2 linked regions of the Macaca fascicularis genome follow. The protein of the gene in region 1 binds, or shares a complex with, the protein of each later gene. Links are inferred from orthologs where the notes say so. Each region holds a gene or a part of one and is shown on either strand. Other genes may lie near its edges.

Region 1 (5,007 bases):
TCTCTATCCACAGGTCCTTCCTTAACTGTTGGATCCTCTGGGTTCAGTCCTTGGCCCTAAATTTACTCTAATTCATTTTGTGGCCTTGCCTTGGGAGCGCCACAAAAACATCTACTTCAAACTTCCTTTCCACATGAATGACTTCCATCCCTCTCTCAACTGGATTTTTTCCCAGTCTGCAGACTCAAAAGGCTAACTGCCTGTGAAGAATCTACCAGAAGGTTCCACAGTCAAATCTGTATGAAGCTGAGTTCACCATTTTCCCTGTGCCACCCTATCAAAAGTCTGTTCCTACTCCTGTATTTACTATTCTAGAGCAGGGAGAGGGAACATTAGCAAATTGTGGCCTACAGGTCAAATCTAGCCTGCCAACTATTTTTGTAAATAAAGTTTTACTGGAATGCAGCTAGACCCATTAATTTACATATCATCTATGGCTGCTCTTGAACTACAAAGGCAGAGTTGAGTAGTTGAGACAGAGATGATATGGCCCAAAAAGCCAAAAGTACTTATTATATGGTCATTTATAGGAAAAGCTTGTTGGCCTCAGTTCTGGAGGTGTGCTTGTGGCTGCAGCAGCTAACTGGCTGTGCACAGGTAAGGCCAGGCAAGGCAGGAGCCGCTCAGCATCTCTGCTTTGTCTCCTTGGCTCTTCCCCTGCCATCCTCGTCCTGCTACCTGGGACTCCAGGATGTGCCCTTTCGACCCTTTCCTAACATCTTCGCTCCTTTCCGCATACTTGAAACCCCATGGCTCAACCTTTCCTGTTCTATCCCTCCTCAGCTCTCCCACCTGAACCTCAGCTTTTCCAATCCCAAATCCTCCTCTTCTTTTGGATATTTCCTTGGAGTCTGCATCTCCTACCCAGAGCATTTCCTGCTCAGCCTGCTCCCTCTCCTCCTAGGCTAGGTCCTCTCTCCAGTTCTCCCGCCTTCTCTGCCCCCCGGGTCTAGGTCTCTCCCACCAACTGGTTAGCCTGCGTCACCATTACCTCCCCTCAGTCTCATCTCTCTCAGGCTCTCCACTCCTTTCAGCCTTGGTCCTCTGCCCTCCCGTCTGGGTGTCTGAGTTGTGGGGAAATGAAGTGCTTCCTATTGCTATTCCTCCCGACACATAGGTGAAGTGCTCCCTGAGCATGGAGATGATCCGGAGGTGTCACTAACCCGTCTCCACACACTAACACAGCTAACCCACTGGGCCCTCTTTCCTAGCAATCTAAGGATCATCATTCACTCTTCTGCCTCTTACATCAAATTGGTCACCAGGTTCTACTGCGTCTGCTTTCTAAATATCTATTGAATCCATTCACTCCATCCTTTCCTTTCTACCGCCTATAAAACTGCCATTATTTCAAGCCTTCAAAATCTGCCTTCTGGCTACCTCTCCAGTGTTGTCTCCTGCCTTGCCCCACGTAGCTCTCACGCTGCAGCCATGAAGAGCTGCTTCCCATTCCTCAGACTCGCTGCATTCCATATGAGCGGCATCTTGCCTTGTTCATCCTCTAGTCCCAGCACCTAACCCAGGTTTTATAAGGTAGACACTACAAAAAAGAACACATCATGTACAATGCGCATGACTTTCTACATATGACTCTCATATGTCGTCAGATGAAACTTTCATACACCATTCCCTCTGCCTAGTGGGCCTTCCTAAATACCCACCCCTACCCCACAAACTTCTAAATCTCAAGACTGTACCCAAGGTCAGCTGCTTTGAGAAGGGATCCTAATTCTAGAAGGTTGAAGTGGTCCTCCCCTCTCTATCTCTCACAGTGGTCCATGCAGACCTCTACCATGATCATAAGTCAAAATGACAAGTTTACATCTGGTTGTCTTCCATGCTAAACTGTAGATTTGTTGGCATTTCCTGTGCTCGGCACCCAGTTGGGAAAGAGGATCAGGTCATAAGCAATTGCCAGATTTTAGGATATTTGTTGTGTCTGAATAAGCTGAATATTCTGCTGAATAAGCTAATTACCTGTGTATTCTAAATGATATCAACCACTTATTGTTTAGTGCACACTGCGGGGAGGCCAAAGAAGGCTGTATTTCTGCTTTCTTGAAACATAGTCTGATTGAAGAGACCAGGTATCCAAGGAAAATTAATGCAAATACAAAAGGAGAGTAAGTTCATGAGAAATATGGCAGAAGAAAAGATCGCCAGGTCCACATGATTTGATTTGGGAACATTTCAAAGAAGGTGAACCAGGGAAGATTTCTTTTTTTGGGGGGGAAAGGGTTTCACTCTCACCCAGTTTGGAGTGCAGTGATACAAAAAATTAACCAGGTATGATCATGGCTCACTGCAAGCCTCAACTTCCCAGGCTCAGGTGATCCTCCCACCTCAGCCTCCTGGATAGCTGGGACTACAGGTGCACAACACTACACCTGGGCTAATTTCTGTATTTTTTGTAGAGATGGTTTTCACCATGTTGCCCAGGTTGGAAGGGAGGATTTTAATAGAATAGGCATTTCCAGTTTGAAGAAAGAAGAGAATGAATGTGGGAACAGCCAGAGTCTGGGTTCTGGAGATAAAAATGGGGACATATGTGTAGCATACAGGCAGTCTAGCTGGGGCAAAGTGTTCATAATAGGGAGGTAGAAGACAGGGGAAAAAAGGTTTAAGCAACAGGCTAATGAGGTCCTGTAGGTAACTGAAAGTCATATAAGGTCACAGTTAGAAAAAGAGTAATGTTTTACGAAGACTATTCTGTAAAATAAAGATACAATTGGAAGAGAAGAGAAGGAACCCCGGGATCCTACCTTCTCCTTTAGTTTTGTCTGTAGGAAGAGAGTCAGCCTCTGTAGTTGCTCAGTCAGCACCCCTAGCTTTTGAGAGTACTGCCGTGTTTTCTCCAGGTCTTGCTCCTGGTTATCTACTATGGTGCTGGCCAGTTTAGCCCTGAAATAAGGAACAAGGAAGATGACCAAAGACCAAATTACCTTCTCTGAACGCCTCTCCCAAATCCCCACAGAGCTGCATTAAAGGAGAGAAACGAGAGGCTCAACACTCACAGTTCTCTTCTTTGAGATTTTGGCTTCTAGAAGTGTTCCTGACAAAAAAAAATAAGCACTTGGGGGGAAGTACAGAGAGTTAGACAACTTACGTTAGGTTCTCTACAGTGTCCTTGAGGTTCTCACACTGCAAGCTGCGCTCCCGGAGCACTTCCAGTGTGGTTTTCAGTTGACACTCAACCTGACTCAGTTCCAGGTGAGCAACCTGATTCTCCTGGTCTGCAAACTGGGAAGACAAGAGAAGCAGCAAGACAGGGAGGGAGAATTTTAGTGCCCTAGGGACAGAGGCTTTTTCTAGTTCATGGTCTCAAACCTTACCTCAACATTATCAGGCAAGAATCACACTCTTGAGGTTTACCAGCTCCCTTGGCCCAAGCCATATTCCTTACCTCCAAGGTCTCTTTCAGGTCCCGCACCTCTTTGGCCAGGACAGCTTGTTGCTGCTGCAGTTCTGCCTGCATGTGTTTTAGTGCCATCTCTTCCTTTTGCCATCTGTCAGAGACCATATATTAGATCCCATTTGGTCCTAATTCCTGGATGCCTACTGCCACAATACCCTGTTAGGAACTCACTGAGCAGCCTGCTCCTCATTGCTCTGGATAAGTTGGCAGAGTAACTCATCCTTCACAGCCAGGTCCTGGGCACAATGGGCATGCTGACTCTGTAGCTCTTTTAGCTGGTTGTCCAAGTTGGCCAGAATCTGCAACTGAGCCCGGAGATCTAGAACAAAAGTATCCTAATGACACTATGCAGTTACCAGGCCAGAAACTGCCCAAACCTCTGCTCCAAAGAAAGTGCTCCTGAGTACTTCCTTGCTCTAGTGCCACACTCCAAGCCTTAACAGGGCTCAACTGCTTACATGCGTGCATACACACACACACACACACACACCTGTTGCTAGACGACTGTTTTCCAACTCCAGTTGTTCTATTTGGCCTTTGCACTCCTCTAACTGGGCAGAAACTTGTTCCAGCTCCCTGGAAACCTAGGAAGAAAAGATGGTTTTCCTCCTGTAGTTCCTCCTGAATCAATAATCCCAGGACTTGGTCCAGCTTCTCTTTCTGAACAAGACAGAAAACTACCTTGCTCCTGGGCATCAACATTGCAGAAAATAAGGTTGATCCTCAGGAAAAAGTAGAGACAGGAGAAAAGTTGCTAAAGTAAAGATGCTGAAGGGCAGAAGGCCGGGCGCGGTGGCTCACGCCTGTAATCCCAGCACTTTGGGAGGCCGAGGCGGGCGGATCACAAGGTCAGGAGATCGAGACCATGGTGAAACCCCGTCTCTACTAAAAATACAAAAAATTAGCCGGGCGCGGTTGTGGGCGCCTGTAGTCCCAGCTACTCAGGAGGCTGAGGCAGGAGAATGGCATGAACCCGGGAGGCGGAGCTTGCAGTGAGCCGAGATCGCGCCACTGCACTCCAGCCTGGGCGACAGAGCGAGACTCCGTCTCAAAAAAAAAAAAGATGCTGAAGGGCAAACGAAAAAACTGGGCTTAAGGCCATCTTACAGCTAAGGGACCTGGCTGGCCTCCAAACCCACAGGGTGAAAAGAAAACAGATCCAGGGTAAGAGGCTAATGATATCACACATTAGAAAGGAAACCAAGCCTAAGCAGTCCCCACTCCTGGTCTGTACCTCCTGCTTTTCCTCAATTGCTGCATCACGTTCCTGCAGGGCCTGCCGGCTCTTGACTGTGAGTTTCTCTGTGAGTTGTCGAGACCGACTCAGCAAAGCTGTCCATGTTGTATACTACCAGAGGAAGCAAGCAGGTCAGTAGAGCACACTTGAGGCAAAGCTCCTAACAGGACTTGATGTGAGTAAGGAATTAATTATGATGGCCCCAAATACTCACATCCAGTTGCATGGACCTCCAGTCCTGTCGCAAGGTAGAAGTAAGACTCACTGTCTGCTGAACCAGCTCTTCTTGCTCGGTATGAAGCCCTACCTACAAAAGAAAGATTGCCTAGGAGGGAGCCCCTTCCCTTTGGATACA
Region 2 (5,007 bases), on another chromosome or scaffold:
TATCTTCTATTTTAGATTTTGCTTCTACGTGCTGGTTTTAGGAATTGTCCCCCTAGTAGTAGAGAGGGACTAGACTCCTGTATCTCTAGGTTTGGGGCAATATCCCATGATTCATCCAAGCAATCTGAAGCAGTCCAGACCAAAGAATCTGTGTTTACTACAGGTCTCCTCCTCAAGTCATCAAGTTTCCATAGAAAGGATTACATACAGTTCCCAATTCCCAACTCTGAGCAACCTACTGTGTTACACATTGCCTCATGCCTTGGCAATGTGAACATTTCTAAGAGGCCTCGCTAACAGAAAGAAAAAAAAATTGGTGGAAAAAACTGCTAAAAAATCCAAATGAAGACTTGGAATATAGTTAATAGTAATGTACTGATGTTGGTCTCTTTTTTTAAAACAATTTTTTCCTGCCGGGCGCAGTGGCTCACACCTGTAATCCCAGCACTTTGGGAGGCCAAGGCGGGTGGATCACCTGAGGTCAGGAGTTCGAGACCAGCCTGGCCAACACGGTGAAACCCTGTCTCTACTAAAAATATAAAAATTAGCCGGGCGTGGTCACAAACGCCTGTAATCCCAGCTACTCGGGAGGCTGAGGCAAGAGAATCTCTTGAGTCCGGGAGGTGGAGGTTGCAGTGAGCCGATTATCATGCCACTGCACTCCAGCCTGGGGGTAAGAGCGAGGCTTTATCTCAAAAAAAAAAAAAAATTATATTTTTAGAGACATAGTCTCACTGTCACCCAGGCCGGAGTGCAGTGGCATGATCACAGCTCACTGCAGCCTTGCCCTCCTGGGCCCAAGTGGTCTTCTCGCCTCAGCCTCCTGAGCAGCTGGGACTACAGGTATGCACCATCTCTCTCTCTCTCAAAAAAAGTATATACTGTGAGTACCTTTGCTAGGCACTGGGTTAGGTACTAGACATAATTCTCTTTTATAACCACCCAGCAAGATAGGCATTATTGGTATGAACTTAGTTTATTCATACTTTTTTTTTTTTTGAGACGGAGTCTTGCTGTGTTGCCCAGGCTGGAGTGCAATGGCACCATCTCGACTCACTGCAACCTCTGCCTTCCACCACACCTGGCTATTTTCTAAATTTTATTTTGCAGAGATGGGATCTTGCTATGTTTCCCAGGCTGGTCTCAAACTCCTGGCTTCAAGTAATCCTTCGACCTCAGCCTCCCAAAGTGCTGGGATTACAGGCATGAGCCACCATGCCTGGCTGATTTCTTAGTTTTGACAAATGTACCAGGATAATGTAAGATGTTACTGTTGGGGGTTGGGGGAGGGAGTGCATCAAGAAGAATAGCTAATAGATGCTGGGCTCAATACCTAGGTGATGGGATGATCTGTGTAGTAAACCACCATGGCACATGTTTACCTTGTAACAAACCTGCACACCCTGTCCATGTACCCCTGAACTTAAAAGTTGGAAATTTAAAAAAAAAAAAAAAGTATCAGGGTAAATTTTCTGTATTATCTTTGTAACTTTCCTATAAATCTAAAATTATTTAGCAAGTTTATTAAAAATAAAAAGAAAAACAGGAAAGAAATCTACCTATCGTGGTAGAAAATGGTCAGGGTGATGTCTGCCTCTCACCTGTAACTCCTCCATCTGCTTTTTGGCTGTTTCATTAAAAAGCTTCAGCTCCTCTTGCAAAGTTTCTAACAGCAACTAAGAGGAAAGTACAATGTAGTAAACAAATCTTCATATAAAACCAGACCTGCATTAGATGATGGCTAACATCCCTTCCACACAGTTCTCAACAAAGGAGTCAGGAAATTTGATACAGTATAGAACAGAGGAACCAGAAAGCTCTCTCTACAGGTTTACCTATCACGTGTTTTAAATTTTCTTTTTTCTTTTTTTTTTTTCTTTTTTTTTGAGACAGAGTCTCGCTCTGTCGCCCAGGCTGGAGTGCAGTGGCCAGATCTCAGCTCACTGCAAGCTCTGCCTCCTGGGTTGACACCATTCTCCTGCCTCAGCCTCCCAAGTAGCTGGGACTACAGGCGCCCGCCACCTTGCCCGGCTAGTTTTTTGTGTTTTTTAGCAGAGACGGGGTTTCACTGTGTTAGCCAGGATGGTCTCGATCTCCTGACCTCGTGATCCACCCGCCTCAGCCTCCCAAAGTGCTGGGATTACAGGCGTGAGCCACCGCGCCAGGCCCCACGTGTTTTAAATTTTCAATTCAGACTTACCTATATTTGTAAGCACAAAGCTACCTTTCAAGTAAAATATGCTATTTTGAGTGCATGTTCCATTTCTCTTTTCTACCATCGCAGATAATCAAAGGTTGTTTCTTGGGGTTTATGGAACATATAGCAGAGACCTTCTTAGATTTACAGAGCCCCACAGTCACTCAGCCCTTGTGCCCTTTCGCACCCATTCCCTCACCATAGAGTCCATGTGATCGGTAGTAGATTCTTGTCGTGATGCCAGGGTCTCACTGCCTAAAGCTGACGGATACAACAAAGTCAACTTCACTTAGGGAACTACACACTTTAAACCAAAAAAAAATAAAAACCCTCCATGAACAAGTACAGAAATATTCATGAGGGGAATTTCTCTTAAGTGTCTAATCCTGGACTTTCTCCCAAGTTTTCACCTTGGCAGGGTCACCCACATCTGCCCTGCAGAACTGCATTTTATCTCCTTTCAATCTAGGTTTGGATATGGCCAAAAATTCTGTATACTTTCTCCTTAGGTCAGTGGACAATTTGTCCAAAGGAAATGTATAGGTTGGATTTTTTGGTTTTGTTCACAATTTAAGAGCCTTTCAGGCCTTAAAAATTATTACTTTTGGTAATATCACATGCATGTAATAAATTAAAATCATACAAAATATTTATGGTGTCAGTTGTGGTGACGCATACCTGTAGTCCCAGCTACTCAGGATTGCTTGAGCCCAGGAGTTGGAGGCCAGCCTGGGCAACATAGCGAGATCCCATCTCAAAAAAAAAATTTTAAATTTAAAAATATGTATTTTACAGTGACTATAAAGAATATCCCAGGTCGGGCATGGTGACTCATGTCTGTAATCCCAGTACTCTGGGAGGCTGAGGCAGGCAGATCACTTGAGGTCAGGAGTTTGAGAACAGCCTGGCCAACATGGCGAAACCCTGTCTCTACTAAAAATACAAAAATTAGTTGTGTATAGTGGTACATGCCTGTAATCCCAGTTACTCACGAGGCTAAGGCACAAGAATCACTTGAACTCAGGAGGAGGAGGTTTCAGTGAGCTGAGATCACGCCACTGCACTCCAGCCTGGGCAACGGAGTGAGACTCCATCTCAAAAAAAAAAAAGAATATCCTCACCTGTAACCTAAAGATTAACCAGTAACATTCAAAGTCAGTATTCCTTAATACAAAAAGGCCTGGGCCCATTTCCTGGGCATTCTCTAGCTCTTTGACTCAGGCTGAGGCCCTCTTACAGTCTTTGGACAATTCTTTCTACTGCTCTCTTTGCTACAGATTCTGCTCTCTGGGGGACAGGGTAACAGTAGTCATTTTTTAGTCACTGTAATTCTACTGATTAGCCAGGTTTAAGAATGCTTGAAGTAGTATTTTCTGTCTCTTCCCATTTGAGAAGTTACTAGTATGCTTGCGAGGAAGAACATGTTCAAACAAAATGTTCCTTTCAAGCACACTAGTAACTTTCCCAAATGGGAAGAGACAGAAAATATTCTCCCTTGAAAGGAACAAAATATTTCTCATCTACTTGCAAGGTCATACCTGTTGGCATAAAGTGTTCAGGTAAGAAAGAGATAACCTTCTCTCTATATAATCCTCTGAAATTCTATTGGCCAGGCAAAAATCAACATCACATGAAAACAAACAGAAGCCCTCCAAAATCTTTAGGGCTTTACTGAAGTAACCCCTGCACTTACTGGGCCAGCTGATGCCATGCTGCCAAGATCAACCCAGGAAGGGACACATGCACTGATCCCTTCAAAGACAGCTAGCTGTGTGCTATCTCTTACCTGGATCAAGGCCCTTGCTCTCCAAAATTGCCAAACAGTTGTCCCGAAACTTCTCCAGCAGCTCTACCTTTTGGGTCAGGTCCTTCAGCTCTCCCTGTTGGAGCACCGCACAGACAGATCAGGAACTGTCCCAATCCCTAGGGGTGGTCGCCCTTTCTTGCCCTTGCTCTTGGACAGCCATAGCAAAAGCCTGTTTTGTTTTTTTTTTTCTGCCCTTGGGCATTTGTGCATTAACAAGCTTGCTCACCCAAGGGGCCATCCATCAGGATTCCATGTGCATTGCCCAGTGGCAGCTGGTAACAGAGCTCTGGTGGGTCTCTTACCTGAGTTTCAGTCAACTTCTGGTGCAACTGCTTGTTGACGGCTTCTAAGAGCTGGTTCTTGTCCTTGAGCTCGTCCTCTGATTTTTGCTTACTCAGTGGTTTGTAGCTGTAATAACAGTTGTACTTACATGAAAAGACAAAAGGGTTAAGAGCATGGCCTACACCAGGCGCAGTAGCTCACGCCTGTAATCCCAGCACTTTGGGAGGCTGAGGTGGGCAGATCACCTGAGGTCAAGAGTTCAAGACCAGCCTGACCAACATGGAGAAACCCTGTCTCTACTACAAATACAAAAATTAGCTGGGCGTGGTGGCGCATGCCTGTAATCCCAGTTATTTGGGAGGTTGAGGCAAGAGAATCGCTTGAACCTAGGAGGTGGAGGCTGTGTGAGCTGAGATTGCACCATTGCACTCCAGCCTGGGCAACAAGAGCAAAACTCCGTCTCAAAAAAAAAAAAAAAAAAAAAAATGGCCTACAGAGTTACACAAACACGTCCTGTTCCTATCCTGGCTATTTACATAGTGGTTATGACCTTCAGTGAGTTGCATAAGCTCCCTGAAGCCCTGTTTCCTCATTTTGGCAATTAGGACAATACCTACATCTCATAGTATTATTATTAATAAGAGAGAAAACCCATGTGCATTTCTTAGCCCAGTAGCTGGGCTGATATGTAATAAAATAATATAATGTTTATCATCTAATA

The links.
Region 2: SPAG5 (region 1) and KNSTRN share a complex: the UniProt entries of both Homo sapiens proteins name them as parts of the astrin (SPAG5)-kinastrin (SKAP) complex. The link is inferred for Macaca fascicularis from reciprocal best matches to the Homo sapiens genes SPAG5 and KNSTRN.

What each region holds. Positions count from the first base shown.
Region 1 is NC_088390.1:34,048,305-34,053,311, forward strand, and holds part of SPAG5 (sperm-associated antigen 5), read right to left. Parts: intron 4,960-5,007; coding exon 4,867-4,959; intron 4,764-4,866; coding exon 4,650-4,763; intron 4,000-4,649; coding exon 3,906-3,999; intron 3,735-3,905; coding exon 3,587-3,734; intron 3,507-3,586; coding exon 3,404-3,506; intron 3,241-3,403; coding exon 3,107-3,240; intron 2,902-3,106; coding exon 2,763-2,901; intron 1,541-2,762; exon of another isoform or gene 1,381-1,540; intron 1-1,380. UniProt on the Homo sapiens protein: Essential component of the mitotic spindle required for normal chromosome segregation and progression into anaphase. Required for chromosome alignment, normal timing of sister chromatid segregation, and maintenance of spindle pole architecture.
Region 2 is NC_088381.1:16,885,667-16,890,673, reverse strand, and holds part of KNSTRN (small kinetochore-associated protein), read right to left. Parts: intron 4,413-5,007; coding exon 4,307-4,412; intron 4,078-4,306; coding exon 3,984-4,077; intron 3,292-3,983; coding exon of another isoform or gene 3,248-3,291; exon of another isoform or gene 3,177-3,247; intron 2,459-3,176; coding exon 2,397-2,458; intron 1,677-2,396; coding exon 1,602-1,676; intron 1-1,601. UniProt on the Homo sapiens protein: Essential component of the mitotic spindle required for faithful chromosome segregation and progression into anaphase.